4 linked regions of the Oreochromis niloticus genome follow. The protein of the gene in region 3 interacts with the protein of the main gene of each other region in a pairwise test. Links are inferred from orthologs where the notes say so. Each region holds a gene or a part of one and is shown on either strand. Other genes may lie near its edges. The genes, in order: bet1, vamp4, stx4 and stx6.

Evidence for each region.
Region 1: the proteins of stx4 (region 3) and bet1 interact in binary tests that used the Homo sapiens proteins (3 or more experiments, as listed by UniProt). The two-hybrid records come from large-scale screens. The link is inferred for Oreochromis niloticus from reciprocal best matches to the Homo sapiens genes STX4 and BET1.
Region 2: the proteins of stx4 (region 3) and vamp4 interact in binary tests that used the Homo sapiens proteins (3 or more experiments, as listed by UniProt). The two-hybrid records come from large-scale screens. The link is inferred for Oreochromis niloticus from reciprocal best matches to the Homo sapiens genes STX4 and VAMP4.
Region 4: the proteins of stx4 (region 3) and stx6 interact in binary tests that used the Homo sapiens proteins (3 or more experiments, as listed by UniProt). The two-hybrid records come from large-scale screens. The link is inferred for Oreochromis niloticus from reciprocal best matches to the Homo sapiens genes STX4 and STX6.

Annotation. Positions count from the first base shown.
Region 1 is NC_031985.2:24,358,176-24,365,377, reverse strand, and holds bet1 (BET1 homolog), read left to right. Parts: upstream 1-4,852; 5' UTR 4,853-5,040; coding exon 5,041-5,059; intron 5,060-5,225; coding exon 5,226-5,332; intron 5,333-5,508; coding exon 5,509-5,565; intron 5,566-6,151; coding exon 6,152-6,307; 3' UTR 6,308-6,697; downstream 6,698-7,202. UniProt on the Homo sapiens protein: Required for vesicular transport from the ER to the Golgi complex. Functions as a SNARE involved in the docking process of ER-derived vesicles with the cis-Golgi membrane.
Region 2 is NC_031986.2:38,756,530-38,764,402, forward strand, and holds the start of vamp4 (vesicle-associated membrane protein 4), read left to right. Parts: upstream 1-4,869; 5' UTR 4,870-5,087; intron 5,088-5,778; 5' UTR 5,779-5,913; coding exon 5,914-5,916; intron 5,917-6,721; coding exon 6,722-6,823; intron 6,824-7,873. Other genes in the region: rangrf (ran guanine nucleotide release factor), read right to left, coding at 2,800-3,375. UniProt on the Homo sapiens protein: Involved in the pathway that functions to remove an inhibitor (probably synaptotagmin-4) of calcium-triggered exocytosis during the maturation of secretory granules.
Region 3 is NC_031973.2:5,168,793-5,175,908, forward strand, and holds the start of stx4 (syntaxin-4), read left to right. Parts: upstream 1-4,103; 5' UTR 4,104-4,286; coding exon 4,287-4,316; intron 4,317-4,668; coding exon 4,669-4,761; intron 4,762-7,028; coding exon 7,029-7,116. UniProt on the Homo sapiens protein: Plasma membrane t-SNARE that mediates docking of transport vesicles. Necessary for the translocation of SLC2A4 from intracellular vesicles to the plasma membrane.
Region 4 is NC_031986.2:36,180,048-36,187,553, forward strand, and holds the start of stx6 (syntaxin-6), read right to left. Parts: upstream 3,003-7,506; 5' UTR 2,830-3,002; coding exon 2,795-2,829; intron 1,141-2,794; coding exon 971-1,140; intron 1-970. UniProt on the Homo sapiens protein: SNARE promoting movement of transport vesicles to target membranes. Targets endosomes to the trans-Golgi network, and may therefore function in retrograde trafficking.

The sequences.
Region 1 (7,202 bases), on a different chromosome or scaffold from region 3:
TGAGGACAGCAGTTCTAAACCGAGCGCTACAGCCTCAAATGTGTGATCACCTCTGGTTTTAAAGTAAGAGCACAGAACAATACAGAGAGCTTGATCAGATGATCTGAGAAGTCAGTCGCAGTGATCAGGTCTCAGTAGCTTTGAGTTTTAAGCAGGAACCTGTCCTGCTTATATTACTGCGCTTTAATATTAAATTCTTTTAACTGCTTTTTCTTTTTTTTGTAAAACAGGGAATTTATTAGAAATAATTAGAGGTCAGAAATTAATCAAGCTAACATTTAACCACTACACTAATTGTTCTTATCACAAAGAAAACATCTAGCTGTAGCATTTAGCATCAGCGGTATTCTTGAAAGTACCAGCACCTGGATAGTTCCCACACAATACACCAGAAAAAGCATTTTTTCCACACTTTAAGTATGAGATATGCCACTTTGGCCATTTGTACCTGTGTTATCGAGCAGTGTATTTATCTTCACCATAAGTAATGACTTTGTATGCAGTATTCAGACTAGAAAACAGTACCCACTGTACTCACAAAAATACTACTTTCTATAAAATGTTAACAATTTTTTCTAATTATTACAGATACTATATAATAAGTTCTTAAGAATCTTAGAGTCTGTTAAATTGTAAACTATAAACGTCCTCACTGCAGTACTGTTTACCACGGCACGTTCAAATCTGTTGTGGAGATTTCAAGCACCATTTGAAAACTGTTAGATATCTCAAGAGGATGAAAAGACATCTGTGCAAAGACTGTGCAAAGAACGGCTCAGGGACCGTGCATGCTGATCAATGCAGCCGGGCTGTTCTGCATCCACGCAATTCACTGAAGATGAATGCCAGTTTCTAGACATCCAGAAGCCTTTCTCCACTCTAAAGACCTTTTTAATAAATCCAATCCTCTCAGATACACAAAGGCAGCTGAGACTGGTGCACACAGTTCAATCAATATCCTCCCTTTCTTTGACTCATGTCAAGGTCATGCATACAGCAAAGCCGTTGGCTGAAACATAAAAAGATGACTGCTGGGGCATTGAAATGCATTATGGCAGAGGGGAGCTTAAAGTTTTATTTATTTATAAGATATTGGATTGGAATAAATTAACGTCACGAAAGTCATTCTAATCTCTTATATCATATTAGCTGTCTCCTGCGATATTGGCACAGAGCTAGGTGAGCGATGATGTATGAGGGGATAAGAAAAGCTCATCACTGCTAAACAGCACCTCTAGGATTTTGCAAATATTGAGAAACTCTTTTCTGTCCCATGCAGCGCAGATGGATGTGTCAGTAAGCCCGTGTTATTCAGCCCACAAAGAAGATTTCTTTCCATTTTATGGTGATTGCCTTAAAAACTCTTCAAAGTAAAACATCTGTCTGTGTCTAAAAGGAGCCTCATAACAATTTTGGCAACCAAAAGCATGAATGATGACTGTTGTTTTTGTGTTACGAGAAGAGATCCAGAGCACATACAGATGAACACGCAAGAAAAGATTCAAACAACATTAAATTTCATTAAAGCTAGAGGAGTTTCGACACAATATGAGTCCCTGTAGAATATTTTTAATTTTAAAAAAAAATCTGAAATATTATGAGATTCTTTTAAACTAGCCAGCACGAGAAGTTCAGCAGCCACTTAAATGTTTGCTGTGATAGCCCGAATGACATCTAATCATCCATCCGTCCTCTAATTATACCATTTCGGTTTCATGGAGGGCTGGAGCCCACCTCAGCTATCATAGAGCAAAAGGCGGGGTACCCCCTGTACAGGCTGGAAGTCTTTGTAGGACTAACACAGGTAAAAACAACCATTCGCACTCATACTCACACCTGTCCTGAATTTCTAATAACCAGTTAACCTATGACCTGCCTCAACCCACTACACTATCCTCCCTTGCTAGGTTTCTTTCCTCCATGAAATCCACAACCTGCCCACAAGACACTGTGTACTTGTTGGTCCAAGCAGCCTCTCCATCATCAACAGTTCTATGTCCACAGGGTCCAGTGAGTCCTTTAAAACTAGACTTAAAACTAATCACTCATTTGAGTCCATCTGATTGCTCTTTGTGTTTCCTGTGCCTTTTTTGGATACGACTGTATATGTTTAGCACCCACTAACACACATTTATTTATTTATTTTCTATTTCCTTGGTGGATTTTTTTGGTATTTTTTCCCATTCTACCTTTTTTTTTATAACACTTTGATCAATGTGAGTTGTTTTTTTAAATGTGCTTTATACGTCCTTCCTCCCTGAAGGAGGAATACTAAAACAAGAGACAGGAGAAACTGACACAGATTCATATTCATAATGTAAAGGAAAAAAATCAGTCACATAAAACACCCTACATTTATCACAGCTTCAGACCCATTACATGAGAATCAGGCGCTCAGATTAGAACCTCTGACATTCAGAGCCTGTGACTCTGTTAATAAAGTCTTTTGATGTCAGTGTGGAAAGATCTGAAGAAATCTCTAAAGTTGTCAGGAAAAAAAAATGGTAGGGGTCTGGCATTCAGGGATCTAAAAATTATTTGAAATGAATGAGTCGCTGTAGGGGAAAGTGACGTTTCTGCTTCTCTGTAGCCTGAGAGCAGATTTAACCCCTTTCATGCAAAGAGAAGTTTTCAAGCACTCTCAGATATGGTCACAGCATCTGCAGGTCACTGCTGCTGCTGTTGGTGTCTAAGTTTCGGAAAGAGACTGCACAAATTGGATGGTAGCTGCACCAGAAAAAATGCTTTTATTGTCTGAAAATAATATTAAGCTTGCTATTGAACATACAGGCTAAGACTGCTTACAATAATGTTGTCTAGACATAAAAGATATACTTTTGTGGTTACAATAACAGAGGATCTGTTGGGCACGGACCAAAAACAGCTTTTCCAGGGAAGATGTTTGTGAAGCATGTTGGTGGAATTTGGGGTTACTTTGTTGTGGGTAATGTGTAGATTGCAGCCACTTTGATTCTGTTTCACATGAAAGAGCTTTCAGATAGTTTGAGCCTATCTGTCTGAAAGTTTAAGGTGAAGAGGAAGTGGACCTTTTATCAGCATCATAATCCTAAGCACTGTAGCAAATCCACCATGAAATGGTTGAAAAAAAGGACAAATGGAGAGTGATGGAATGGCTTATAGTGGTCAAAGCCAAGATTTAGATCCCAGTGAAATTTTGTGGGATGTTTGTGCATCTGACTGCTTTCAGTCGTGAGAAGTAAGAGAAGGAATTCTGCTTGGAAGAGAGGTCAAAAATTCCAGCGATCTGAAGTCAGAGACTGGTGGACAGTTATCCAAAATCCCTACAGGTTTTTTTTCTGCAATACAGGGGCAACATCAGCTTTATATCGCATTAAAAAAAAGAAAGAGCCAAGTTACTTTGGCTTCTTTCGATATATGACTATAACTCTTTAAATACTGTCACCTCACTACGGGCTTGAGGCACACAGACTAAAGCCTGATGTGGATATGCTTACTTGTGATAAAAGTTTCCCTTTGTTAGTGGGTTTGTCAAATTTCAAGGTGTAGCTTTTGAAAATTTCCCTGCAGGGATACACACTTGACTATATGCTTTAGAGCACCGTGTCAAATATGTGACTCGGGCGGCAGTACTAGCCTTCCAAAGGCTCCAATTTGTACCACTGGATGTCTTTGGACAGTGTGAAAATTGCAGTGAAATAATTAAAATTTCAAATAAAATACACTGCTTTTCATTTTATTTTGTCAGCTTTACTACACATGAGTAAAGAAAGTCCACATGTTAAAGTTTTGTGCTCTTCAAAGCAATCTTGTATATGGAATGAGAACAGGAAAAAATAACATGTTTTTTTGAAATCACAATTATTTTTTAATGAAGATTTCTCAAATTGTTCATCCGTTAAATGAAAAGAATAATTTAACAAAAAAAACCCCCAAAACAATACCTTCTGTCATCTGGAAAATATCAAAGGGAATTGAGTAAGTGGCGTCTTTCTCTCAGGCTTATGCTTTCTTAAGTACTTCTTGACAGCTAAAGAATGGAAACAGTTCAGATGGGTGTTGTTTTATGCAGAGGTTTTACTGGTCTGGCCCACCTGAGATCAAACTGGGCTGTATGGTATGGCCCATGACATAAAATAAGTTTGACAACCCCACTGTGGACACACTGCAGGGTACACAGACAAACTAACATCAGATTATTTTTGTGTGGGCCTTTCATTCTATAACATATGTGCAACCTTGTTACTGAAACCTATTCAGTGTGGAAAATAAAAAGACAAAACAGGGAATGACTTGACAATAAAAACATTATTTTAAAAATATAAGTGACATGATTTAGGCGATTACTAACACCATGTATAGTATAAAGGTCAGACCTCCATGACATATTTAGTATTTTTCCAATGTTTTCTTATTAGATTGAGCGTGTCACTCTAACAATTACACTACATTTACTACATTTATATTCCATTACACTCCACTGCCAACTAACAGTGATTTGCAACACTGTACATAAAAGAAATTTATAGAAAAAAACATTACCAACATATAAATATTATTAAACAACATGTCATTTTTCCTGAGTATTTATTTGTCACACCTTGAAAAGTTAAGGTAAATTTTAAAAGTTGCTTAAATTAATCTAAATTAATTGTATTATTGTAATGTATTGAAACTGAATGGATATTCAGTATGACAGTAACGGGGTTGCGCAAGGCATAGCAAACAACATCTAATCAAAAATACACTTATAAAATATGTATCTTTGTCTAATTTTTGATGGCTAATTATTTTTTTACTTAAAATTTAATCTATTACATAATGAGCAATTTACATTTTTCCTTTTGAAACTGATTTAATAACTTTTGAAACAAGCTTACATACGGTTTTCCTTTTTACGCGTTTTTCTCCATTTGTCCTCGTCGGCCGCCGTATGGTGTCGTGGCGTTTGTGTTGTGAGCAGACGTGATACAGTTACCGGATCAATCAGAAGTCGAACTTCATTCTTATTTAGTCTTTTAATATAAACCATTGGACAGTGTTAGCTTCGGTCGGGTCAAAATGAGGCGCGCCGGACTGGGTAAGAAACAAACAATTAAACCAAAGCTTCTCTTTTCCCATACGTAGCATTTGTTGCTAACTAGCTAACTAAAGCTAGCTTATGTTATCAAATGTTTGTTGTTTTGCACTCTGAGTACTCTGTTGTTCATGAACACTTTATTAACGCTTAGTGTATTTTAATACAGGTGAAGGAGGCTCGGGGAACTATGTAGCTAGTGGATATAGTGTATACGAGGAAGAAAATGAACACCTACAGGAGGGTCTCAGGGCTAAAGTCAACGCTTTGAAAAGTGTAAGTAACTGCTGATTACGAGCTTTTTGTTGTTATTTTTAACAGTCAGTGAATATTGCAGCAAAGAGTTTCATATAAATGAGTCGACCTTTTCCGTATGTACTCAAAATGTACACTAATTTCTTCAATTACTATCTTTTACAAGTCACGTAATCATAATGAATTGATTTTTACAGCTCTCCATTGACATTGGCACAGAAGTCAAATACCAGAATAAAATGCTGGAGGATATGGTGAGTTTTACTTTGGAGTACGCTGGACCACTTGCTGCTACAGCAAAAACAAAAAAACAACATTTAGTGTTGTCTGAGGTTGGCAGGGAGCTATTTTTGCCTGCTTTGTGTGTTGTTTTATGTTGTGGTTTGACTTATATTGGTCAAAGTCACTGAGAAACCCCTCAAAACTAAAGAATTTGAGTAAATGATTCAGACTCCAGAAATGTCTCCCACCACTTGAATATTGTTCTCTGCTGGACTTTTGTAATCATGTAATCAGGGTGGCTGTAGCTCAGGAGGTGGAGCAGGTCATCTACTAATCAGAAGGCTGGTGGTTTGACCCCTGGCTCCCCCTGGTCAGCATGCCAAATATTCTTGGACAAGATATTAGTTAATGCATCACTCTGACCCATCCATAAGATTATGAATGTGTGTGAATGTTGGTTAGTAAGCAGTTGAAATCATAGAAGAAAGTGCTTGTGTGAATGGGTGAATGTAGCATATTGTATTTAGTGCTTTGAGTACTCCAGCAGAGTAGAAAAGCTCTATATAAGAATCAGTCTATTTACCATTTACCACTTTTCCTCTCCACTTCTCACTTTAGGACACAGACTTTGACTCCACAGGCGGCCTGCTTGGTGCCACCATCGGCAGAGTCAAGAAGCTGTCCCGGGGCAGTCAGACCAAACTGCTGTGCTACATGCTGCTCTTCTGCTTTTTCGTCTTCTTTGTCCTGTACTGGTTTATCAGTTTGAGGTGATAGGAGGATCTTATTGGACTTTGCTCTTCGGTTCTTCTCTTCCAGTTTGTGCTACAATGACACATCTGAACCAGACCAAGATAAAGAGAAAAGGCAGGGATGTTTTTTTTTTTTTTTTTAAAGTCATTACACTTTTATGTGCCACAGTGTCAGGCTTTCAAACAATGACTCGAGAAGAAGTTTAGAAAGGTGTACTGATGCTGTTTGATGGAGTACTAAAAAGTAAAAGTGGTTTAGGACAATGTCTGAGAAAATCAATAATCACAGGAAATGTAGTGCATACTGTATGCATAAACGAAGCAGACAATATCAGTATTTACGGTGTTTATACTTAATATCTGACCAGTTAACCTGGATTGAGAAGAGCATGATTTATGACTGTAGACGATACAGCAGTGTCGAGAACTGTAACTCTCAGCAATCAGCTGAGTTCAAATTGAACAAGTTATAGAATGATCTGCATAATCTAGTGTATGCGCTTTTAAGGGTGAAAGGACACATTCCTATTGTCATATGACGACCACACGTGCGACAGTAGTGTACGTCATTGTTTCATCTTTATTGTAAAAATATTAATGTAAATAAACAAATTTTATGCCCTGGATTAGCTGGTGTAACTTCATGCTGTTGGATGTGCTGAAATGTCTTCAGCATGAAAATCTCAAACATAAAACATCCATTTTTATTAAAGAACATTATTTTTCTTTATTCTAAACAATAATTACAAAAGTAACAAATTACATTCAATCAAAACTCTGCATTGTTGCACATGTGTACAGACAAGGAAGGGGGGGGGGCTTCATTATTCTGTGTGATTGACCGTATGAGGATGTCTTTATGACCACATACAGTATTGTTAAAAAGGCAAAATCTCCTCATCTGAGTAACTGATCAA
Region 2 (7,873 bases), on a different chromosome or scaffold from region 3:
TGTAGTTAATGACATTGATAATCGGTAAAAGTGACAGTTTCATAAATAAAAGTGCAAACACAGGACCACCCTGTTTCTCTAGACCTCTAACTCTAATTTGGGATTTGAAGTAGAAGGTTGCAAAAAAAAAAAGAACATGGGAGCTGTTTTTTTTTCTCTTCAAGGACACTTTACCAGTTTTTCCCAGAATATGAAGTCTGCCTGCCAGGCTTCAGGTTACTAGAGGTAAAAGACAAAACAATTACTGTGAGTGCTGAAGCATTAATCGAAGCCGAAATGCCTGTGTGACTGTTGGATCATTTGAAAGGTATCATTAGGGCATGATACCTAAATTTCAATACACTATCCAAGCCCACTAACAGGAACGATATTCATGTTTTTAATATGATACAGTTTTTGGCTGATAATGTGTTATGTGGTCCCTGGGACATATTTATGTAGATTTCTATGTAAGTGTCTTCATCCTCATATTTAGAAATCTGACAATATATTTCATTCACTCCACTTTACTTACTTTAGTACTACTTGCAGCTCATTTTTCTTGCCTTTTTTTTTTTTGTACTAAAGAGTGTCTGCAGCACTTTAAAAAAATCTGTTTCCAAGAAAAAGAGGTCTACTCTTGGTACCATCCAAACTATAGAGTTTCTGAATTTTCTTAAACGCAACTTTAGGTTTAAAGTTTTTGGAAACCGTTTAAAAAAAACTGTAATACAGATACTGATTTCTGGAATAGGAAAAATAGTTGTTTTTTTTAAATTTGTGACTATATTTCAGTTTCCTCTACCATGGCAGAAACAGACAATGGTTCTTTTGTTTGAAACTCTCACTCATGTGTATACGACAAGCATTACAAGTGAAAAACCTGGAGACTATAGAACGTGCCCAGGAGCCAGTCAGTAATAGGCGTTTTTCCAGGCACTGAAAGTCCATGGTAGCTGGAAAAGCGTCTCCTGACACGACCTGCAAATCGAATACCTTTCCCCAAAGCCCTCATGGGGAAACACAGGATGTTTTCATTCTTTATTACAAACAGAACCAACACAATGCTTATCCAAGGAAACTTGCTGTTCTAATAAGAGAGTATGCTTTGGTTAATGAAGGAATGTGCTGCTCAAGGATCCTGCGAGGAAAGGACGCCTGACTTTACGAGATTCTTAATCAGTCGTGGTTGTGCCAGAGGAGGAGGATGGCTTGATGTGGCACTGGGGAGACAGACTTTACTTCATTTTTATTTGTTATGCACGACTTACCTGAATTCTCCTGCTGTGATGAGTTTTATTTAACAGCAGATTTAAGTTAAAAATATTTTTTTGTTCCTACAATAACACGTGTACCTGGAAAAGGCTTTGATTATACACCACATGACTTACAATGCTGACATCTAAAAAAATCTGACTCCAGAAGGACATTTAATAGAGGCCATTTTCCACTCTATAAATTTGGTTTCACCAAACTCACTCTTGAATGAAGTGTCCTCAAGGGATTTTAGGGTTCAGACTAATGAATTAATCCACCATGAGGCCACTGGTGTGCACGATGGAAACAGTTGACCTAATACATATTCCTGCTGGGACTGGTCCTCTCCGTTTTCACTGTTTATGACGAAACCATGAAGCTCTCTGTGGAGGCACAGAGGGCTCCATGAATATTTCCTGTATTTAACTTCTCCAGAGGGATGTTGGGATCTAATTTCAGCCATAATCTTCTGACTTGTACACTGACTTTTGGCTACTACTTTTATCACCACTGTACTGTAAAAACAGCCAGTATAAAGAGCATATCAGAATCTGGGTGTTACAAACTTAAAATCAAGTAGTCCTAAGGGGAAGATTGTGATTTATACATAATAATAAGGTATTTCTCTTCGTTAGTCATTTCTAATTTACTTGTGTTTTGTCTGAAACAGGTCTCTCTTGTAAATGAGACACTGAGTCTCAATAGGACTACCTGTATAAATAAAGTTTAAATAAATTAAAATAAATAAGTCTCCATAAAACATGCTTAAGTACAACGGCAGTGTTTTGGAGTAAAATACAGAGAGAATGAGACAAGTAATTCCAGATATGCATAATAAAGTCATTAATTTTTTCAACAGTTAATAGTTTTGTTTCAGTCCTTAAATTAAAGTTGATTTTGAAACGTTATCACCTTGTAAACATTTCAAGACCCAATTGTACCTTTACGTAGAAAGGAAATATCTTCAAATGAATGATAATTTGCTCATATTAATCCAATATGTGAGATTTAATACAGACTATAGTGGCATGGTATACACCAATCATTTGAACTTTAAATAAAACTAAACAACAGTGGGAGCCTTCTTGTCATATTTGGTTTGCAGTTTTTAAATAGAACAAAGCATAACAGGGACTCCTGTGTTTCAGGGAAGAAGCATGACTGCTGCTCTCTGAAAACTTTATTTGCATGAAAACATACACCTGACTATATCTCAGCCCTAAAAAGCATTGACGCCATGCACAAAATGTTCTTAAAATATGTAATTAACTACTGAACTGATTGAGAGATTTAAAAAAGTTTAACTATGAGGTTATTCTACAAAGCATTTTCCCCCACATAGCGCTTTTTAAAAGATAGCAACCGCATTATGTACGGGGGAAAGGTGGCTTTAAATAAAGGGTCTATTCCACTGGGGAGATGTGTTGTATGACATTTGATGCAAACGGAATAAGCTCAGAATTTAAAAAATATAGTCTATAACCAGTCTGCTTTTTAAAAATGTTGTTAATGTCCCACAGGGAGAGAGACCGAGAGACACCATATCATAAAAGTGGACTTGCTCTACCCGAAGAGCCCAGGGTTATGCAGAGTCAGAGTCTGTACGAGGCGCTGGAAGTCCTTCACCATCCAGGGCTGTTGGTGTGTCCCCACTGCACAGGCACTGCTGCTCTCAGGGCTGATACTCTGCGGGTCATTAAATGTGATGAGGACATCTGTGGAGAACTGCGGCAGACGGAACAGGCCCAAGTGGATGGTCACTGAATTCCTTGCTTCTTCATTGAACTTAGAGACGGACTGAGTCCCAGTCAGCATCCACGCAGTGCTGCACTCTGACAGGGACAGCTCAGATTTGGGCAGAGTCACAACACTAGTCACTTCAAAAGCCCCCGGCTCCAGAGCTTTGTTGCTTCCCGCGATGTCCTCAAAGTGGTACCTGGCTGCATCCTGGTCTGCCACCTGACCCTGGTACTCCACCAACTCGACGATCAGGCTCTGGTCTGTGTGGGCGTGGGCAAACACCTCCTGGTTGTCCGGGATTTCTCTCAACTCGCTGATATCTGTGGCGCTGTGAGGGATCACAGCTGACAGGGCTCCTCCAAACAGAGGATGAGCCTCGTTAGCTGCTGCACTCTGCATTTCTCTGTGAAGCCTGTAAACAGAAAGAAACACCACAGGTGAGACCGTCTCCACCCACATAAACACCACCTACTTAACAAAAATTGTAAAGGAAAAAACAGAAGCTTTGGTGAAGTTGCTGAACACATCTGCAGCTCACCAGCTCACCTCCCACTGCACGGTCAATGTGGTTCCGGTGAAAACTTAATCTTCTTCTTCTTGTTGCGTGTGTTTTTTTTTTTTTGCCATTATAACAAACACGCTGCTGCCACCTACAGGTGTGGCAGACCTCGACAGAAACGATTTCGCAGAATAAACTTAAAAATTATAAATCTAAAGTTTCTGATTTAGTTTTCAAGCTCATAACATACATAGCAAAAAAAGAAAACAAAGAAAAGAAATATATAAGTAGGTTTAATTCGAACATTTAAATGCTGAATGTCCAAATGACGTACATGGACGTTCAACAAAACAAAGTTCCCAATATATTATTCATCTACATAAAAGTAACACAAATTTTGTGCTCAAAAAGGACAAGTATAAACTTATATGATCCCACTCCTGCTTTCTGTTTCATAGCAAGATTCACCTTTCTTTCAAATGACCTGGAAATGACACAATGACACAAATGACAAATGACAAATATAAACAAAAGACTCCCTTAACGAGGTAAAAAGCTGGATAAATCTAACATTAAACCAAAAATTAAAAAAACAAGAATAAAAGACAATAATTTCATGTAATATCTTTAAAGATGTTAAATACATCCATTAATTTTTTTTTTTGTTGCAAACCATGAATTGATTAGGTTCATTAATAATCAACACCCATTGTACCTTTAAAAAGATGTTGGATACATTAATTATGTTTGGTCTCATTTGGATTTGTGGGAAAGAAACGATTCAGTCTTTTCCTTTATGAGTAAAAATAACGTATTCTTTGTTCGAAAATGTTAAGTTGTCAGTGTTATCAGCTCAACATTTTTAAGCAACCCAAATGTTATAAAGAAGAAAGCATGTAATGTACAGAAAGAGCGGAAGAATCTGTCTATTTATAGATCAGCTAAAACTTATTTTACCGTATTTATTAGAAAAAACTAGTGGTAATATCCTTGGTACAATTCTCTGTCTCAGCACTGGCGATTGTTTGTAATAAATAGTGTAAAGGCACCATAAATACATTGGTAAAATTAATTGTTTCTTTGAAGAGACCAGATTTTTCTTCTTTCTAAACATATATTACTTTGAACTTCTTGTATAGATAAGGTGGAAGAAGACATTTTAATAAACAATGAAATCCTCATAAACACTGTAAAAACACGCACTCCTGTGACAAAAGTCAAAGCAGTCTACTTATTACACTGAAAATTGGTTTATCATTATTATTATTGTTATTATTATATTTTATATATTTCTGTGTAGAAGTGGAATATTTACTGCATAAAAGAACGTAAGGTAAAACATTTTCCGCAGGCCGTAAAACATCTGCAGCAATTTCTCCTCCTCCTCCTCCAGCTGTTTGTGTTGATTTCCTGGTCAGCTGATTCAGACCGAGCAAAGATAGGAAGAGGAGAGCTGGCATCCACAATGATCATCGTGTTTCATGGTCATTGATAGCATTTGAGATGAATCAAACAGATCCGTAAAGTCGCATTAAGCCTTCGTGTTAATTTCTGAGTTTCTGTGTGGAGGAGTTTACCGGCTTCGAGCGGCGGATCCTGTGGAAAACAGCAGGTAGCCGCGTTAGCATCCTTAGCTTAGCTTAGCTTGGTAGCTAAGCGGCCTGTCTGATACGGGTAAAATAATAAAGAAGAGTGTAACTAAGCTGTAGTAGCTTTTAAATTGTTTTTCGTATTGTGGAGTTGAAACTTCATTGTTAATTAGGTTGACAGGAATATTATTTTCTAAGATTTAGGCTGTCAAACAGCTCGACCTGCTAAAGTTGTTGACGGCTGTGATATAATGTTAATTAGCTTATGAGATTGTGAGCTTGTGTGTTCAGTTTTACTCCTTTGCTAAACTGAGGGATCCTTAAAGCTATTACTTTACTTGTAATAGAAAAAAGGGGGGAAATCGGCCGCAGATAGCCAAGCTTTACTCATTTGGTATTCCTCTCTTGATAGAAATTGATTGTGGGATTGATTTTTCATTCTTCTTCTGTTTGCTTAAAGTTGCAATCAATGAATTGATTAGGGTAATTAATAATCAACAGCCAACATTAAGCAATTTCCACAGGTCTTTTGTTCCAGTGTGAAACCAAGCCTTTCCTTTATGTAATAAATCACTGCTTTTCTTTCTGTTTTTCAGTTTTTTACCTTTAAAATTGACTCTTGAAATAGACGTCTTCCTGCTTTCCTGCCTGAGCCTTAACATGTTACGTAGATGTAACTCTGGCTTCTTTCTCTTCACACTATTCCTGCTTCAGATCTGTCCCCTGCCTCTCTTCTCTGTTTACTGGAAAGCTCTTCTCCTCTTCTGACCGCTGAAAGGCCCAGTTTTCCAGCTGCAGTGCCAGAAAAGGAATCTGAGAAAGCCACTGTGTCAGAACTAGCTGGATTCAATGGTATAAGTTGTATTGTTGGTTTAACAGAGACTCTGTGTGTGTGTGTTTGTGATTATATTACCACTGAGGGCCACATGTTGTTTAGTTCAGTGTCACAGAGGCCCTTTAATGAAGCATCTGTGTGTGTTTTGTCTTGCTCTTTGGAGCATGAAACACCCAAACACAGACTCCAGGGTGCATAATTGGAAGAACAGCATGTTTTCCATTTCCGTGTTACATGGAGAGCAATGATGACATTTCCTTTCATATCTAGTGAGACTCAACACCTGCTCCACCAGAAGGATTTGGATTTAAAACAGCTTCATAAGATATCTGTTTTTGGACTGTTTTAAAAAATATTATGTTTCTTGTATATGAGAAGCTGGAAACTCAATATCTGATCCAACATCACATCCAATTACTTTGGGGACTGGAAAAATCAGTTATCTTGAGCTACACTCTTGAGATTCCTAAACCTGATACAGTAAAGAGGCTATGTAAAGTAAAATAGCTCAGATGAATAAAATAGAATACAGATGTCTTACATTAAAGTGGCTCAATATATCCAGAACAATAAGAGTGTAGTGAACAGTGAAATAAAGTAGCTAAACAAATAGAGTTGTATTGCTGGGCCGTGAATTCACATTTAGTCATTTATAATGTTTAGATTCTCAGTATGTTTGTAAACTCTGCATGTGGTTATGTCTGTAACTCCTTTCCTCTTACCAATACTGGAATCTTCTCAATTCAGGTATCTAACTCTGTTTTAAGTTCTCCCACAGTGTGGTAAAGCTTCATTGATGACTTTTCTTCTCCTGCCCTACAGAGGGAGCCAGACCGGGAGGAGCAGCCTGAAGACAACATGCCACCGAAGTTTAAACGACACCTCAACGACGATGAGGTCACGGGATCGATTCGCAGCGAGAGGGTGAGACACAAATAGACATGGAGGAGCTGGTGTTTGGCGTTTGGGTTTGTAACAAATTGCATGCGCAGTTAGAGAAGCAAAGTAGGACATGTAGTATATTTTCTAAACCACTTATACCATTCATGGTTGGAGAGAGATGGAGCCTGTTCCTTCAGATGTTGGGCAAGAGGGTACTGGACATGCTGGACTTCTATCTCATAGGGTAACACATTACTTTTACTGTGGATTGACTGTGGATCCCATCCTGAGCGAGGAAAAAGCCCTGTATCAGATGTAGAAAGTTTATTTGTCAGATTAGTCATAATGGAAAAGCAACAAAAATAAGGGGAGCGAACCAAAACAACTTTTTTTTTAAGGGGTGAAGCTTTAGAAACTGCTATGGCCAAATGTCTGGTCCTCATCAGGTTGATCATCCCGTCCCACGCACCTCAACCTCCCCTGTCCTCCTCCTTATTCTTTATTGTGTTCATTCCTCTCTTTCCTCTGTGTCATCCTGTTTGCTGTTGTGTTGAGCTGAGATCAAAGCAAAGCTTACCGGGAGGCTTGCATAACAAAATAACCTCCCATGCTTTTCCTTCAGTGCCCGGCCTCCTGTCTTACAATAATTGCTAACAGTTTCCTTCACGTCTGCTGTCTCGAATGGAAAGAAAGAAAGAAGTTTGTACAGAAGGAGATTGTTAGTGCCTTAACTTATAAAGTATTTTATGATCTTATGGCCACCATTCCCACAGATTTTTTGCAGATGCCATTTTATTTACAGGAGAATAAATTGTATTGGCCCGACATTGACTGGCAGAATTGACACTACAGTGCATCCATAGGTGTCGCAGTTATTAGAAGGTGAATGCCATGGCTGAAAGAATTGAGATTTTAACCTTCGTTACTGCTAAGGTAATGAAATTCAAATGTAATTGATCTTTCTCATAAAAATTTCACACTGTTGGGTTTTAATATCGATTACCTTTCTTGTGTAGTCTCTAGTAGCAGTGGATAAAGTCCACCTGCCTTCAGTCCAATAAGAAACAGACTCGTTCTCTTCTCCTGTGAGAA
Region 3 (7,116 bases):
GTGCTCTAAAATAAGATCTGTTAATCATGCGGAGCTACTTTAGCAGAGCAGACAGGAATGAGTATAATAGGACGCCCTTAAAGACATACAATGCTAAATTGGGTTCATTCTAAGGTGTAATATCTGAGCCACTTATTTCTTTTCTGAACTGAATTGAACTGAATCTAATTTTTGCATCTAAAGCTGCAGTATATTGATTTCTTTTATATTTAAGGTAATAAGGATCGAGACAGGAGAGCTTTCCAGAGTGCAACTTTAGCCCTTTTACCAGGACGTACTGAGTTGCAAGACAGCGAGACTGAAACATGCTGACAGAGGATGTCCAAACATCCATGACAAGCATCTATAGTTTTCCTGGATTTGCCAAAGATACATTTATTTCTAATGAATATTGATCATTGTGGCTATTGTTCTCGCCATTTTTAAGAAAGATAGAGTTATCATTATATTTTTTTAAATTAATGAACGTTTCCTTGGGTAGCAGCTGATGTATGTCTGACTTAGATTCGAACGCTGACACTACTGTTCCAAAGTCGTTAATGTCGTCAATACACTATCCAGCACAAGCTTGACAACAACGTTGTACCAAGGGCTGAAGGAACATCTGGAGTAGAAGGAAGGTAAAGTACAAAGTGGTCCCAGTGCTCCCAGTAATCGGAGCATTAGGAGTTGTAACCCCAAAACTGGGAGAGCAGCTCCAGCAGATTTCAGGCACCATATCAGAGGTATTCAGAAGAGTGCAGTCTTACATATACCTCAGATGCTGTGCAGAACCTTCAAACTCCCAGAGGGTCCTACAGTACCTTAGCCCAGTTCTTCTCAACCACTGATGGTGGTGTCTCCTAACGGTACATAAGCAGCACAGATGTTCTATCCCAGTCACTCGTTTGGGTCTGTCTGTGTACGCCAGGGGTGGGCAACTTCAGGCCTCAAGGGTCAGTGTCCTGCAGGTTTTAGATCTCACCCTGCGTCAACACACCTGAATCAAATGATTAGTTCATTTCCAGGCCTCTGGAGAACTTCAAGACATGTTGAGGAGGTAATTTAGACATTTAAATCAAATGTGTTGGATCAAGGACACATCTAAAACCTGCAGGACACCAACCCTTGAGACCTGGAGTTGCCCACCCTGGTGTATGCTGTCCAATAGTCTAGAGGGAACCTTTGGACCCCCTGCAACTTTGGTCCTGGCAACCACCTCCGGTCTCTTTCATCCTTATGTCCATACTGCTCACCATTGTTCCCAGTGTGCTGTAACCTCTGGATCTCCAGCTTCAACAGTAACCATCTTCTGCTGATGTTATTGCACTGAGCTGCCAGGTCCTTCTAGCTCATTGTGGATGTTGGTTTTCTACTGATCCCACATGTGCTGCACATAACCTTTTTTATTGTGTCAGCTGGCATAGTAACATTCCACCAATTCCATATTTTCAGTCCTTCTCCATGTTTGCATTGTTCCAATAGACAATAATATATAAAGGTGAGCTTGAGACACTGGACTAAAGCTTTCCTGTAACATTTGTGTTTAGGTTAGGAGATTGTGCCACCCTGTGGACAACCAGCAGTCCTGCAGCTCAAAGAACCAGCTGCTGCAGATTATTTAACTCATTCAGTTTAACAACCATATCTTAACAATGCATCTGCATGATCGCAGTTGGTTTATTGATATAGCAATGTTTAATTTTATGAGTTGTTTTAAGATTTTATGATAAATTAATGTGAAAGCAGTGCTCTACAATTTGACTTAACATAAACAAGTTTCATTGTTGGGGCGGAGGTCAAGTTAAGGCAATCATTTGTGTTCTTTTAAAAATCCAGCAGAATTTCTTCCTGATTATTTTTTGATTACTGAAACTTCATTACTCTGTTCATCAAATCATGAGTCAGTCTCTCACTTTCTGCTTCAAGGTTCCTACAGATGCCGCCCTCGTCCTGATCAGTGCACAGCTATGAGCCTGTCCTCCTCCCACAGGGATCTTTGTTCTTGAAGGTTTCTTTGGTGTTGGGTGTTGTAGAATTTTGTAAGTAAAGCCTGCAACACGGAAAGAGCTGTGATCAAGCTATTTATTACTGCGCGCAGGAGAGCCAACACACATTTAGCATCACAGTTCACAGTCATGCCAGCTCTTCCCCTTGGGATGTCTCAGCTTCTCTTTTATACCCCCCACACACAACTCTGTGTATCTTTTAGTTACAATAGGTTTCTGTCCCACGGGCTGTGGCTGGACAGGGGACAACTCCCACTATCTTTTCCCAGGAAGCTCCTGGCGCTGGCCCTGAGTTTCATCCTTCTGAGCAAAACAGTTAGCAGATAACATAGTGAAACATCGTTAAGCAAAGCTAAGCAGTTTTCACAAGGTCATGCTGACACATACACATACTTCATCTGAGCATTCAAAGGTTATACAAAATCATACAGTGAAGTTCTAACCAGCTAAATCTACATGTAAGGATAAACTAGAATTTTTCCATAACATTGGGCCAGTTCTGCCTGGAGTTTGTTAGTTTCCTCTTAGTGCTGAGAATTTCTCAGTATTCTTTTTCTTTTCTCTTTAAATGCTGAGAGCTGTTTTTAGTTGATCCAATTTTTTGGGAAACATTTGTGTGCAACTTCCCCTTTCTTGTAAACTTCTACTTAAAGAAATACCCTTGCTTTTTCTGCCTTATCTCTTTGAGTTTTACGCAGTCCTTTTCAACTGCTCTATCTCCAAGACTAAGGCAGCATGCTTTTCCTCTAGGGCCGTTATCTGTTCTGCCTCATTGCCCAATGTCTGACTGAATTCGAAGTTCTCAGAAACATAACATTCACTGCTCGTGTTTACAGGCTCTAAAGCAGCCTGTGGTTCTTTCACTGTGATGTCACTCAGCTCAGGGTGAAGAGGTGGAGTAGTTTGGAGAACGTGTGGTGTTTCTGCAGACAGTGGGCTTCAGTGTTGGTGCCATAGGCTGTGTAGATGTTTCCAGCAGGTAGTTTAAGCACCACTGCAGACTCTTGGAGGGTCACTGTCTACTGTGGTCATGGAGCTGCAGCAGACTCCAATTTTGGTGCTCTAGCAGGCTGTTCCAAGATTTCAGTTCTTGATTTTCAGCAGATATTAGAGTTGTGACCTAAACTAAAATGTTGTAACTCCCGACTTTCAGCAGGGATCAGTTTCAAACGTCTTTCAGGATTTGTAAAGCAGGATTTTCTTGTTCTAGTGCAGTTACCTTCACATAATTTGGATCTGAATGAAAGCACTCTTCAGATTCAGAGGCTGCACTTTTCATGCCAACGCAGGAGACAGCAGATTTTAGACGGTTTTACTTTCAACTTGCTTGGACTGCACCTGTAAATTCATCACTTATAGCAAAATCTGAATTTTTTAGGCATTTAAACAAGCAAACTATGGACTGAATTGTTTCTGCCTCTGTGTGTAATGTCTTTTTTCATCTATTTTTTTTATAGGAAAAGATTTTGATTCCTCAGGCAACGGCTGTTCTCCAGTCAGTAGAAACTATTAAACAGTAGTTACAGGCCGATTGGAACAAATCAGTGTTTCTAAATTTAATTTAGTCACGCTGTTTATAATGCTGCCACAATATGACCTACATGTAACTTTTGGTGCCTAGGTGGTACAGAACAAGTGAGTGAACATAACATTAGATCTTATGTCGACATATCAACAGCATCTGCAAGTACAAGAGTAAGTGAGCAATATTACTGGCCCTATAAAACTGGCTTAATTTTAAAATTTGTAATAAGTTCTGAGGTCTGTTTTCTGTAAAGTCTACAATTGCATGTTATTACATTACAACACCCATGACCAAAATATTGTTGTTCGTCTTTGTTTGCTTTTCCTGTTTATTTTTTCCTCTTTTCCTTCACTTGTCCACTAAATTATCTATTCTCTTCTTTCTTTTTCTGTGCCTCCTTAATCTTAATATCCTAAAGTCACGACCCTTATATCCCTACTATATCTGGACAATATATGTTTATTGATCTATATAAATATTCGCACATATTTATCTTTATATGCCTAGATTATTCTACGTAGTGAGTATTTGGGAAGAAAGGAAGCCTACGTTTGGAGTCTTTCAGCAGTTCCTCCTGCTATGACAGGGGGCGCCAGTGAGTCGATGAGTTGAGTGTTGAGTGGGCCGCAGAAGAAGAGGCGCTGCCGCTGGAGTTTACTAGTTGAATGACAGCGGCGGCGTGAAGTTTGCGGATATTACGCTTTGGGAGCGGCTCGCTTTATTTCAGTGCAGCGTTTTTTTACTTTTGATTTCTTCCCTTCGCTTTTGGAAAAATGAGGGACCGGACCAAAGAATTAGGAAATGTGAGTTTCAAAGTAAACTGCTAACATTAGCCCTAGCTTGCTAGCGTGGCTAAGTTAGCCCAGTTCACTACTTTACCCGAGTTAACCAAAGAGTCTCCAGGGACAACTTAGACCAGCAGAGGGAATCAAAAAAGTGGTTAAAGTGGGATTTTTTTTGCAGATATTTCTCTTTATAAAAGTTGACTTTATTGACGTTTCACTTCCAACTTCCGTTTCAGTCCTTTCTCCTTAAAGGATAGGGCAGGCCGGGACAGGGCAGGGCTGCAGGGCTCATGATTCACATCCTCGGACAGCGAGAAAGCACTCACTGTTTTTCTTCTGTTTATGTTATTTAAAATCAATGTGACTTCAGACCGCAGAGGCTTCGGATGACGATGAGGAGGGCAAAGCGCTGATGAGCAAATCTGGAGGCTCAGAGAAGGAAAATGATGCCTTTTTCAAAAAGGTAAGGCAGAAAAATCACGCACTTCTCCCTGGAAAATCCCCCAAAATCAAATGATCTGCACTGTCCTCATTCACTGTGGTAGTTTGCGCACATTTCTGAATATCACATTTGTGTAAAAGAGAGACAAAAATGCACTGCAGAGGCTTAAATATCACAGACTGCTGCTGATGCTTCTTAGCCTGTTTTGTCAACAAATCATAGTCTGCTAAATCCCAGTCTCCTTGTACCCGAACTGTCATGAGTAAGGAACCAGAGTTAGTCACCTAATATCACAAAATGTGACTATTCTCTGCGCTGATCTTAGGCCTCTGTAATAATATGTTTGAATATTTTTTGGTTTTGATTTAAAATGGTTTGAAGAAACTGCTCATTTTATGCATATTCACCCTTTTGTCCTTGGAGTCTTATTCTTGGTATGGAAAACTCCCCCTAGAAAGTATTTTAAAGGTCCAAAAAGTGTGACTAATATTTCAGGAATGCCTTAGATATTCTCATATTTCAAGATTCAAAAAGTTTACAAGCAAAACACAGTTTACAGGTTAATATAAATCTACAAAATTGCAAATGTACAATTATGAATAATTAATGTTCGACAGTTCATCAGTGATTCAGCCTGATGGCCCGTGGATAGAAATTGTTTTTTGGGTTTTTTTGGTCCAAAGCAAAAACATGGAAAGTAGGAGACCTCTGAGCCTGATCCACTTGACCTTCTTGCCACTATAAATTTTTAGAAAGACGTTTATGTTAGTGACACCATTCACCAACAGGAGGAGAGAAGCTGGAGGATAAGGACCAAGGTTATCTGGGGAGAGGACACAAGGACGTAAGGGCAGGGAGCCACAGAGGCTGGACATCCAGTGTCAGGTTAAATAGATGTGGAGTCAGAGCAGTTTAAACTGTACTGCGTAAATAAGTGGGTTAACGGTGCTGTATGCAAGTGTTTTATTTAAAAAAAAAAAAAAATCAGCAGTTGTTCAACTAACATGAATAGTCTAGTTATAAGGCAGATTAATTGGTTAGTGAGCCATACTGAGCCTGAAGTCAGTTTCAACTGTCATGAAGGTGGCTTTTTACTTGGCTGGATCACTATAGTAACTTGGACTGAACACATGACCTGGTCTGCAGAAGGTTATGTTCAGTGTTTTGGTTAAAAATCGTCTGGAAATGCCGTGTTTTCACTGATTGAGAATATGTTGTACGTATGGTTATGTTTTTCATGCTGAGGAAAGCTGAGCAGCAGTGTAAACAGGGTGCAATCATGGAAGCTCGCTCACTGAAGAACTTTTTTCTTTTTCCATCCATAAGTCAAAATTTGTAGCTGGCGTCTTAAAATGTTGACTTTGATTTGGCCACAGACTGAAGTGGTTTCCACACCTTTGTCATCGAGCCATGGTCCATTGTTAGTCCTGAATTCACTGAATATTATGATGAATCAAGTTTAAAATTTCACAGCTTTAACTTGCAGCCGTCGCGTCAAAAACCTTTATTGCTTCGGCAGAAAATAAGAGGGTAAGTAGCAGCCAGGTGCTGCTAATCAAATGCGTGGGAAAACTACGTCATAACTTGTGACATAACTGGAACCTCCTCTTAACCCTACGCCATAACCTTCCACGTGTTGTGGGCTGCATCGACCCAGCATGTAGTTATATTTCTTGAGAGGTGCACGTCAGGTTACGGCGTAGGGTTAAGAGGGGATCTGGTTACGCTGCAGATTTATTCATGCATTACTTTACAGGACTGGTATGACTTTAATAGAGCTGTGCATAAGCAAATGTCTGCTAACCTCAATGACCTGAAACAGTGTTGAATTGCTTCCAAACAAGAAAATGATTACCTCAAGTTATGGGTGCTAAAGGTTTTTCTACAAGCTGCTGAATCGTGAAGTGGACTTTTTTTCATGTGATGGTATATTAATTCATGAATTCACAAAACAAACAATTTTCTGTAGCACTGCTTCTCTGAATTATTTGCTGCACCAGTATTGCTTTGTTTTGTGAGTGCAGTCAGAGCCTGAAGCAGAAAGCCTGTGTGATACCCATTATTGTCTCTGATGGGGGACTTTAGGTGTTATTGAGCCAGCTAACGCAAAGAAAGCTTACCTATGTTGGCATTCCTTCATAGTAAGCAGAGGCAGCTGCACCCATTTAGCTATAAGGACCGACAGAGGGAATAGGATGATGTTTGCTTGATATATGAGTTAAATTGAGCTAACAAAATAGTTCTTTTGTTCCCTAAGAAACCTAAAATTCTTTCCCTGTCATCGTCAGGTCCAAGAAATTCACGAGGGGCTCCAGCAACTCAAAAGGATGGTGTCTGACCTCGAGAACAAACAGAAAACTGTGCTGGGCGAGGCGC
Region 4 (7,506 bases), on a different chromosome or scaffold from region 3:
AACAGTTGCTTTATAGTGTTAGGTAAAGGCCCGAGAAAACTGAAAAAAACCCAACAATCAGACGACCTACGTGCATGCACTTGGCGACAGTAGAAAGGTGGAGGTTTCTTCCTTTTAACAGAAGGAAACCTCCAGCAGAACCATGCTCAGTGAGGGGTGGCCTTCTGAGAGACCAGTTGGGGATGTGGGGATGAAGACAGAACCAAGACATGCTGTGGAAGAGAGCCAGAGATTAATAATAACTAATGACTAAATCCAGGGAGGTGTATAAACACATAGTGAGTGAAGAAGAAAGTGCATCATGGGAATCCCCCAGCAGCCTACACCTATTGCAGCATAACAAAGGGAGGATTCAGGGTCACCTGATCCAGCCCTAACTATATGCTTTAGCAAAAAGAAAAGTTTGAAGCCTAATCCTAATCTTAAAAGTAGAAATAGTGTCTGTCTCCTAAATCCAAACTAGAAGCTGGTTCCATAGAAGAGGGACCTGTTCTAATAAATTCAACACGATCACTTACTCTGTCTTCACAATCAGTGATTGATTGGAGCCAATTTCAGTGTTTGTAAATATGTAATTAATGATTACTAATTGATTGATCTGCTCTCAGCATGGACGAGGAAACAGGTGTCAATCGGCAGCTTCAGATGCAGTGGGAGGGGAGGAGTCTGTTAACCTCCTCTTCTTCATTAAATTGTCATCAAACTGACTCTAACCATTTATGAACCAATCAAACTGTTCCATCTCACCTTGTGCGCCAGGTCTATGTGAGGATTTACAAACAAAACTGTCTTCACTGTCCAGAGTTTTGAGGTGATACACATCTCCTCTTCTTCTTCATTCTTTCTTTTTTCCACAGCTGAACGAATCAGCCAATCTCAGATGCTCTAATCATAAAACTGTATTTACCTTTCCAGTACATCTTTATATACACCTGTGCGTGTTTCTGCTGGCTTCACATTTGAAGGATATTGATTGTCTCGTCAAGGTCCTCTAGGTCCCACTCGATGGAGCGCAGGCTGTTCCTCAGCTCATTGGTCGTCCAGTCTATCTCCTCCTTGGAGGCTCCGCCTCCCTCCGCCATCAGTTCGCTCCATCTATGATGGAGGCTCTGAGCAGCGTTGACTGCTTTCTGCACCTCGCTAAAAAACAAACAAACAAACAAAAAACCAAACAGGTGAAGCGGAGCTTCAGAGGAACCTTAATAGCACAAACCAGAAACAGAACCAGGTCTATCTGCTGCAGGGAGTTTTCATGTGACGTAAGGTAACTGGAAAACTAAATAAACACAAAACTGGAGGGCCAACTTTATTGATCGTTTACTGATCAGTGTTGAAATGTCCAGCAACAATTTCAGTCAAATCTGCACAGCCACCTGGTTGTTCTTCTACAGAGCCAAGGAATCAAGATGTTTTTAAAATCACATGGCTCACTATCTGTACTCTGCCATGTCCCCCTTTCTCCACACAAAATATGAAAAAGAAGAAAACATGTGAAGGAACTGATTTGTCAAAACAAAATGTGTCTAAATCTGAACAAATTCAGGTGAGAAAATATTGATAAGTAATAGATCAATCACAACATGACACATTCATACAAACAGTTTTGTGAATAAGACCCACACTTTATTATAGTTGTAATCATTAGAAAAGCTACTTATAGAAAGGAACCTATTAGGTGAAGTAATGTTACACCTGTTAACAGGTTAATTAATCACTGATCAATAAAATCAAACATCTCAACTGTAACGTTCAAACAGGCTGAAATCAGAAGCGATATAAGCACAAGCTGTGGTCCTGTGTGTGAATCAGGAGAAGATACGGGTGTTCCCTCATGTGACAAGTGATTAAGGTGCTAGAGAGGGCAGCCTCAGCCCACCTGAGATCAGAGGTGAAAACGTCTTAAGCCTCTGAAGTTTGGACAGTGTATTATACAATCATCATGAGGGTCACTTTCATTTAACACGATGCAGCTGCTGCTGTGTGGTGGTTTATACGTTTGAGGAGACACAGTTCACTTTGGGATTCAATGGGAACATCATGAGAGAACACACACCCCACCCCTCACAGATCACTGAGGAGAAACATCATAAAAGTTGGAGACACCAACAGACTGTAGAAAGTGATCAGGAGAGGGTTCTGTGATTGGCTGCAGACACTATAAAGCTGTGATGGAAACGAAGCCAGTGCACAAACTGTTCTCCACCACGGATCATCCTGACCTCCCTCTGCACCACCTGCTGCACAAACTGCTTCACCTCCACAACATACAGGAGGTCTGTGACTCTCTGATAAACACACACCTATCTGGAAATGTCATCATTACTATTAATAACAATATTATTATTATTATTCACCCACTCATTCATTCATTCTCTGCCGCCTATCCAAATCTAATTATTATATTATTTTAATTGTTGCTGTTTCAGTTTCATTCCACCTGCTCCAAACAGAAGCTGGTAAATTTGATCTAAATAGAGTCTCTCACTCTTTGTCATCATCATCATCATCATCATCATCATCGTGGTACACACACGGTCTAAAACACCTCCTAAAACTTTAATCTGATAAAAAAAAAACACACACAAAGCTAACAGGCTAACATGCTAATAAACTAAGTGTGAAGACACATTTATGCTAACGTTAGCACGTTAGCTGCCGTGAATCTGCTCCGGCACGCACGTTGGTCTCGCTATTGACGGAAACAGATCGATGATCAGATCGATTATCGATCAGCTATCACCTGTCCGCAGGCTAATGTTAGCTGCTAGCTCTGTGTTAGCGGCGCAGTTCTGACCCTTTGACGACGAAGAACGGGTCTTCCATGGACATCCCGCCGGCTCTGCTCACTCCATCACCCACTTTCTCGTAACCGAATCCGCGGATTCTGATTTCCGCCGGTCCGTCCTCACGAAGCCGCTAACGGAGCCGCTAACGGGCTTTGTTTACACGTAGCACCGGAAACAGCTCCGCGATGACACACTTTTTCTTCTTCTCCGACTCTTATTACAGTTTCCAAACACGAAAACAGCGCCACCAGCAGTTGCGGGGAAATAACATTTAATTGAAATATTATACAGTGGTCCCTCGCTATATCGCGGTTCACCTTTCGCGGACTCGCTTTTTCGCGGATTTTTTTTTTTGTGTGCAATTTTGCATGAATTTTTTATTTTTTTATTTTTTTACAGTGCATTGTGTTCTGCGTCCTAACTGGCTGTAGATCATTGTCAATCAATCTCGTGCCGTGGTCCTGTACAGTACAGAATGCGTTCAGCTTGTCAAATTTACATAAATCTTCGATCGCTAGCAGTGTGACTCTGAAGTGCAGTATTGTATGTTTGTTTTCTCCCCAACAAACACAACACTGTCGATGAAACGTTTTGCACCGTCAAAGGCAACTGCGGGTGCCTTTGGTTTCATTCTATAATACTGGACTTATTTTTCTACCAAGGTTTCAACTTTGAGGGTGTTTAAGACGGGCAATGTTCTGCAGACGATGAAAACAACTTTGGACAGGACAGCCAACATGCTTTTCCAAGTTGAACACCTGATCAAAGGTAACACCCAGATTTCTCAAAGTGGAGGAAACTGAACATGAGAGTGGTCCAAGATTTTTAGTTGCTATGGGAACAAAGTTGTCAGGTGCACAGATCAGAACTTCATGTGTTTTTTATTAATTCAAAGACAGATATTTTGCTGTCATCCAGTTCTTTATAACATAATTACGGTCTTTAAGGAGAGAAAAGAATATTCATCCATGTCTCTACACATTAAAATATAATTTGATACTCTACAAAGTATGGTGGATATTGGAGTGCATCTAGCAAAACTCAGACTGAAATTAAGCAGTTCAAACCTCTGTTAGCTGGTTGGCCACCACTTTTTCAGAATAAAAGGGAATTTTGAAATTGGCCTACAATTCTCAAGTGGCGGGGTTAGCATTGGGCTTTTTTAAAGGAGGGTAAATAATAACCTGTTTGAAATATGTAGCAACAAAGCAATTATTCATTACCTTAAGAACACATGGTGTGAAAGGTGTGAAAGACCTTTTTGAATAGTGAGGTTCGTAAAATGTCAAGTTGGCAAGAGGGTGGTTTCATTTTACGAGCCACTTCAGAGAGATTGCTTATTTTGTCTAAGAGTAGTGGACGGTTAAGGCATGGGCCCAGAGAGGAAGGAGGAGGGGTAATATTTGGTCTGATATTATGGGTCTTATAGAGACAGAAAGCAAGAAAGTTTTTACACTCTATTAAATCTGCTGGCACATCAGAAATTACTTACTGGAGACAGCTCGGTCTGCCATAAACACCCAGTGAGGGAACCATAACATATCCCGATGACTCAAGGAAATGACAAGTTTTCCCACCAATTCCTTGTTTCCAAAGCTGCCTCAGTCACCTGAAATCCAGGCCTTACCCCCCAACTCGGTCTGCGTCTGCAAGAAGTTCGATGACACTGAGGCTGTGATTCACCAAGGCACTGAAAAGAAACACTGTCTTCCAAGGAAGACAGGATAGAAGACATGCTGTGGAAGAGAGACAGAGATTAATAACAAGTACGATTCAATGCAGAGAGGTCTATTAACCCATAGTGAGTGAGAATGGTGACTGAAAAGGAAAAACTCAATGCATCATGGGAGTCCCCCAGCAGCCTATGCCTATTGCAGCATAACTAAGGGAGGATTCAGGGTCACCTAATTTTTATAGACATGCTCATCATTTCTGCCATCACTGCATACAAACTCTGCTTTAATGTTTCTAATACAATCTAACATCAGCTTCACTCAGGTGACAGCTCTCTGAGCTCCTATTAAAAGTCAGAGGTCACAGTACTGACAGTGTTTATCCTGGTGCTCTCAGCATTCTGCAGATAGATTTCTTCAGAGTGCCTCGTCATCTGCTCTCAGACCACCTGAAGCGATACTCAACAAAACAGGAGTTATCCATAAAAGAACGACAGTTTCGCATTCAGTACCCTGCTGTGCAATGTGAGCTCAGCATAGCCAGGGTTTGTTTGCATTATCTGGATTTACTTATCCCAACATCAGCACTTAGGATCTGCAGTCACAGGAAGCCATTGCTGACAACCCAGAGTGTCCCAGTGTTCATACAAAAGGGGCAAGACTGGCATGATCTGACCAATCACAGTTACTGGCTCACTTCCACAGCATGTCTTTGTCCTGGCTTCATCTATTGACCCCCATCTGGTTGCGGCAGATGGCCACCCCTCATTCAATTTATGTTGTCTTCATTCAAATTCAGTTGTTTTCATTCAAATTCCGTTGTTTTCATTCAAATTCAGCTGTTTTCATTCAAATTCTTTTATTTGGATTCAAAGTCTGTTGTTTTCATTGAACTTCTATTGTTTTCACTCAAATTCTGTTGTTTTTCATCCACATTTTGTTGTTTTCTTTCAAATTTCATTTTTCATTCAAATTCTGTTTTTTTTAATTCAAATTCTGTTGTTTTCATTCAACTTCCGTTGTCTTCATTCAGATTCTGTTGTTTGTTTTCAAATTTGAATTTGAATGAAAACAACAGAATTAGAATGAAAGGAACAGAATTAAGATGAAAACAATGGAATTTGAATGAAGAGAACAGAAAGAGAACAGAATTTGAAAAACAAACAACAGAAGTAGAATGAAAACAACGGAATTTGAATGAAAACAACTGAATTTTAAAGGAAAGAACAGAAGTAGAATGAAAACAACAGAGTTTGAAAACAACAACACAATAGAATTTCAAAACAAACAATAGAACTTTAATAAAAGGGGAAAATTAGAAAACAATGCACTGTGAAGTAGTCAGACTCGAACGTCAAGGAAGGTGGTAGGGAAGCAGACTAGGCAGACATTTCAGATTTCCAAGGTGAGCAATTTATTTACAGTGAACTTAATTTAATGTAACTTAACAAAACTTCCCCCGAAATAAACTCTATTAACAAAACTCAACATAACATGGATCTGGTAGCTCAGCTCAGCTCAGCTCAGCTCCTGCATCTGGTAGAGACTGGCTTTAAATAGGGCCATCAATTTCCCTCCAATTGCCCAGCCAGTACCACTCACTCAAACTGAGGGATCTAAAACTCTACACAGATGATTTAAAAACACAAAACCTCTTCACACTTCTAATATACACATTTACACAACTAAATGGCAGTATTAACAAAAAGAAAAACATTCAACAAATTCCTTTAAACCTTAACACAAACAAAAGGAAGCATCACTATGGAAAAAGAAACCCCTCCACTTGGTTTGACCTGCTGATGTCATGTTTGACATCATCAGGATTTTAAAATGAGGAAATGCCAGGCGGGCGTTTCCCCACACCTGACCCTCATGAAGACTGAAAAGACAAACAAAGTAAGTATGAACAAATGACTTAATCTGTAACATAATAAAATATAAAGAAACATAACTAAGTATTTGTCTTAATTTGCAGAATGTTTGATTTGCTGACAACAGAACGCTTACACAAACAAACCCGGGATAGTGAGTGAAGCAATACTTGACAAATAGCAAAGCATAGCAAATACATAGAAACAGAATAATGTGTACAATGTGCAAAAAAAGGTAAACACATATGGGACAAGTGAGAGCATTGCAACTGCTCCTCCACTTTGTCACATGCACTTTGACTGAAAACAACAGAATTTTAAAGGAAAGAACAGAATTTGAACGAAAACAACAGAATTTGAACGAAAAGAAAAAGAAAACAAAAATTTCAAATCAAAAGAACGGAATTTGAATTAAATGAACGGTATTTGAATGAAAACAACAGAATTTGAAGGAAAAGAACAGAATTTGAATAAAAACAACGGAATTAGAATGACAACAATAGAAGTAGAATGAAAACAACGGAATTTGAATGAAAACAATGGAGTTAGAATGACAATAATAGAAGTAGAATCAAAAGAACGGAATTTGAATGAAAATAACGGTATTTGAATGAAAACAACAGAATTTGAAAGAAAACAACGGAATTTGAAGGAAAACAACAGAATTTGAAAGAAAAGAACAGAATTGGAATGAAAACAACGGAATTTGAATGAAAGGAAAAGAAGTAGAATGAAAACAACAGAATTTGAATGAAAACAACGGAGTTAGAATGAAAACAAGAGAATTAGAATGAAAACAACACAATTTGAATGAAAACAACACAATTTGAATGAAAACAACAGAATTTGAATGAAAACAACGGAATTAGAATGAAAACAACAGAATTTCAATGAAAAGAACACAATTTGAATGAAAACAATGGAATTTGATTGAAAACAACGGAATTTGAATGAAAGGAACAGAAGTAGAATGAAAACAACGGAATTTAACTGAAAATGACAGATTTTGAATGAAAACAACGGAGTTAGAATGAAAACAACACAATTTGAATGAAAACAATGGAATTAGAATGAAAACAACGGTATTTGAATGAAAACAACAGAATTTGAAAGAAAACAACGGAATTTGAAGGAAAACAACAGGATTTGAAAGAAAACAACAGAATTTGAATG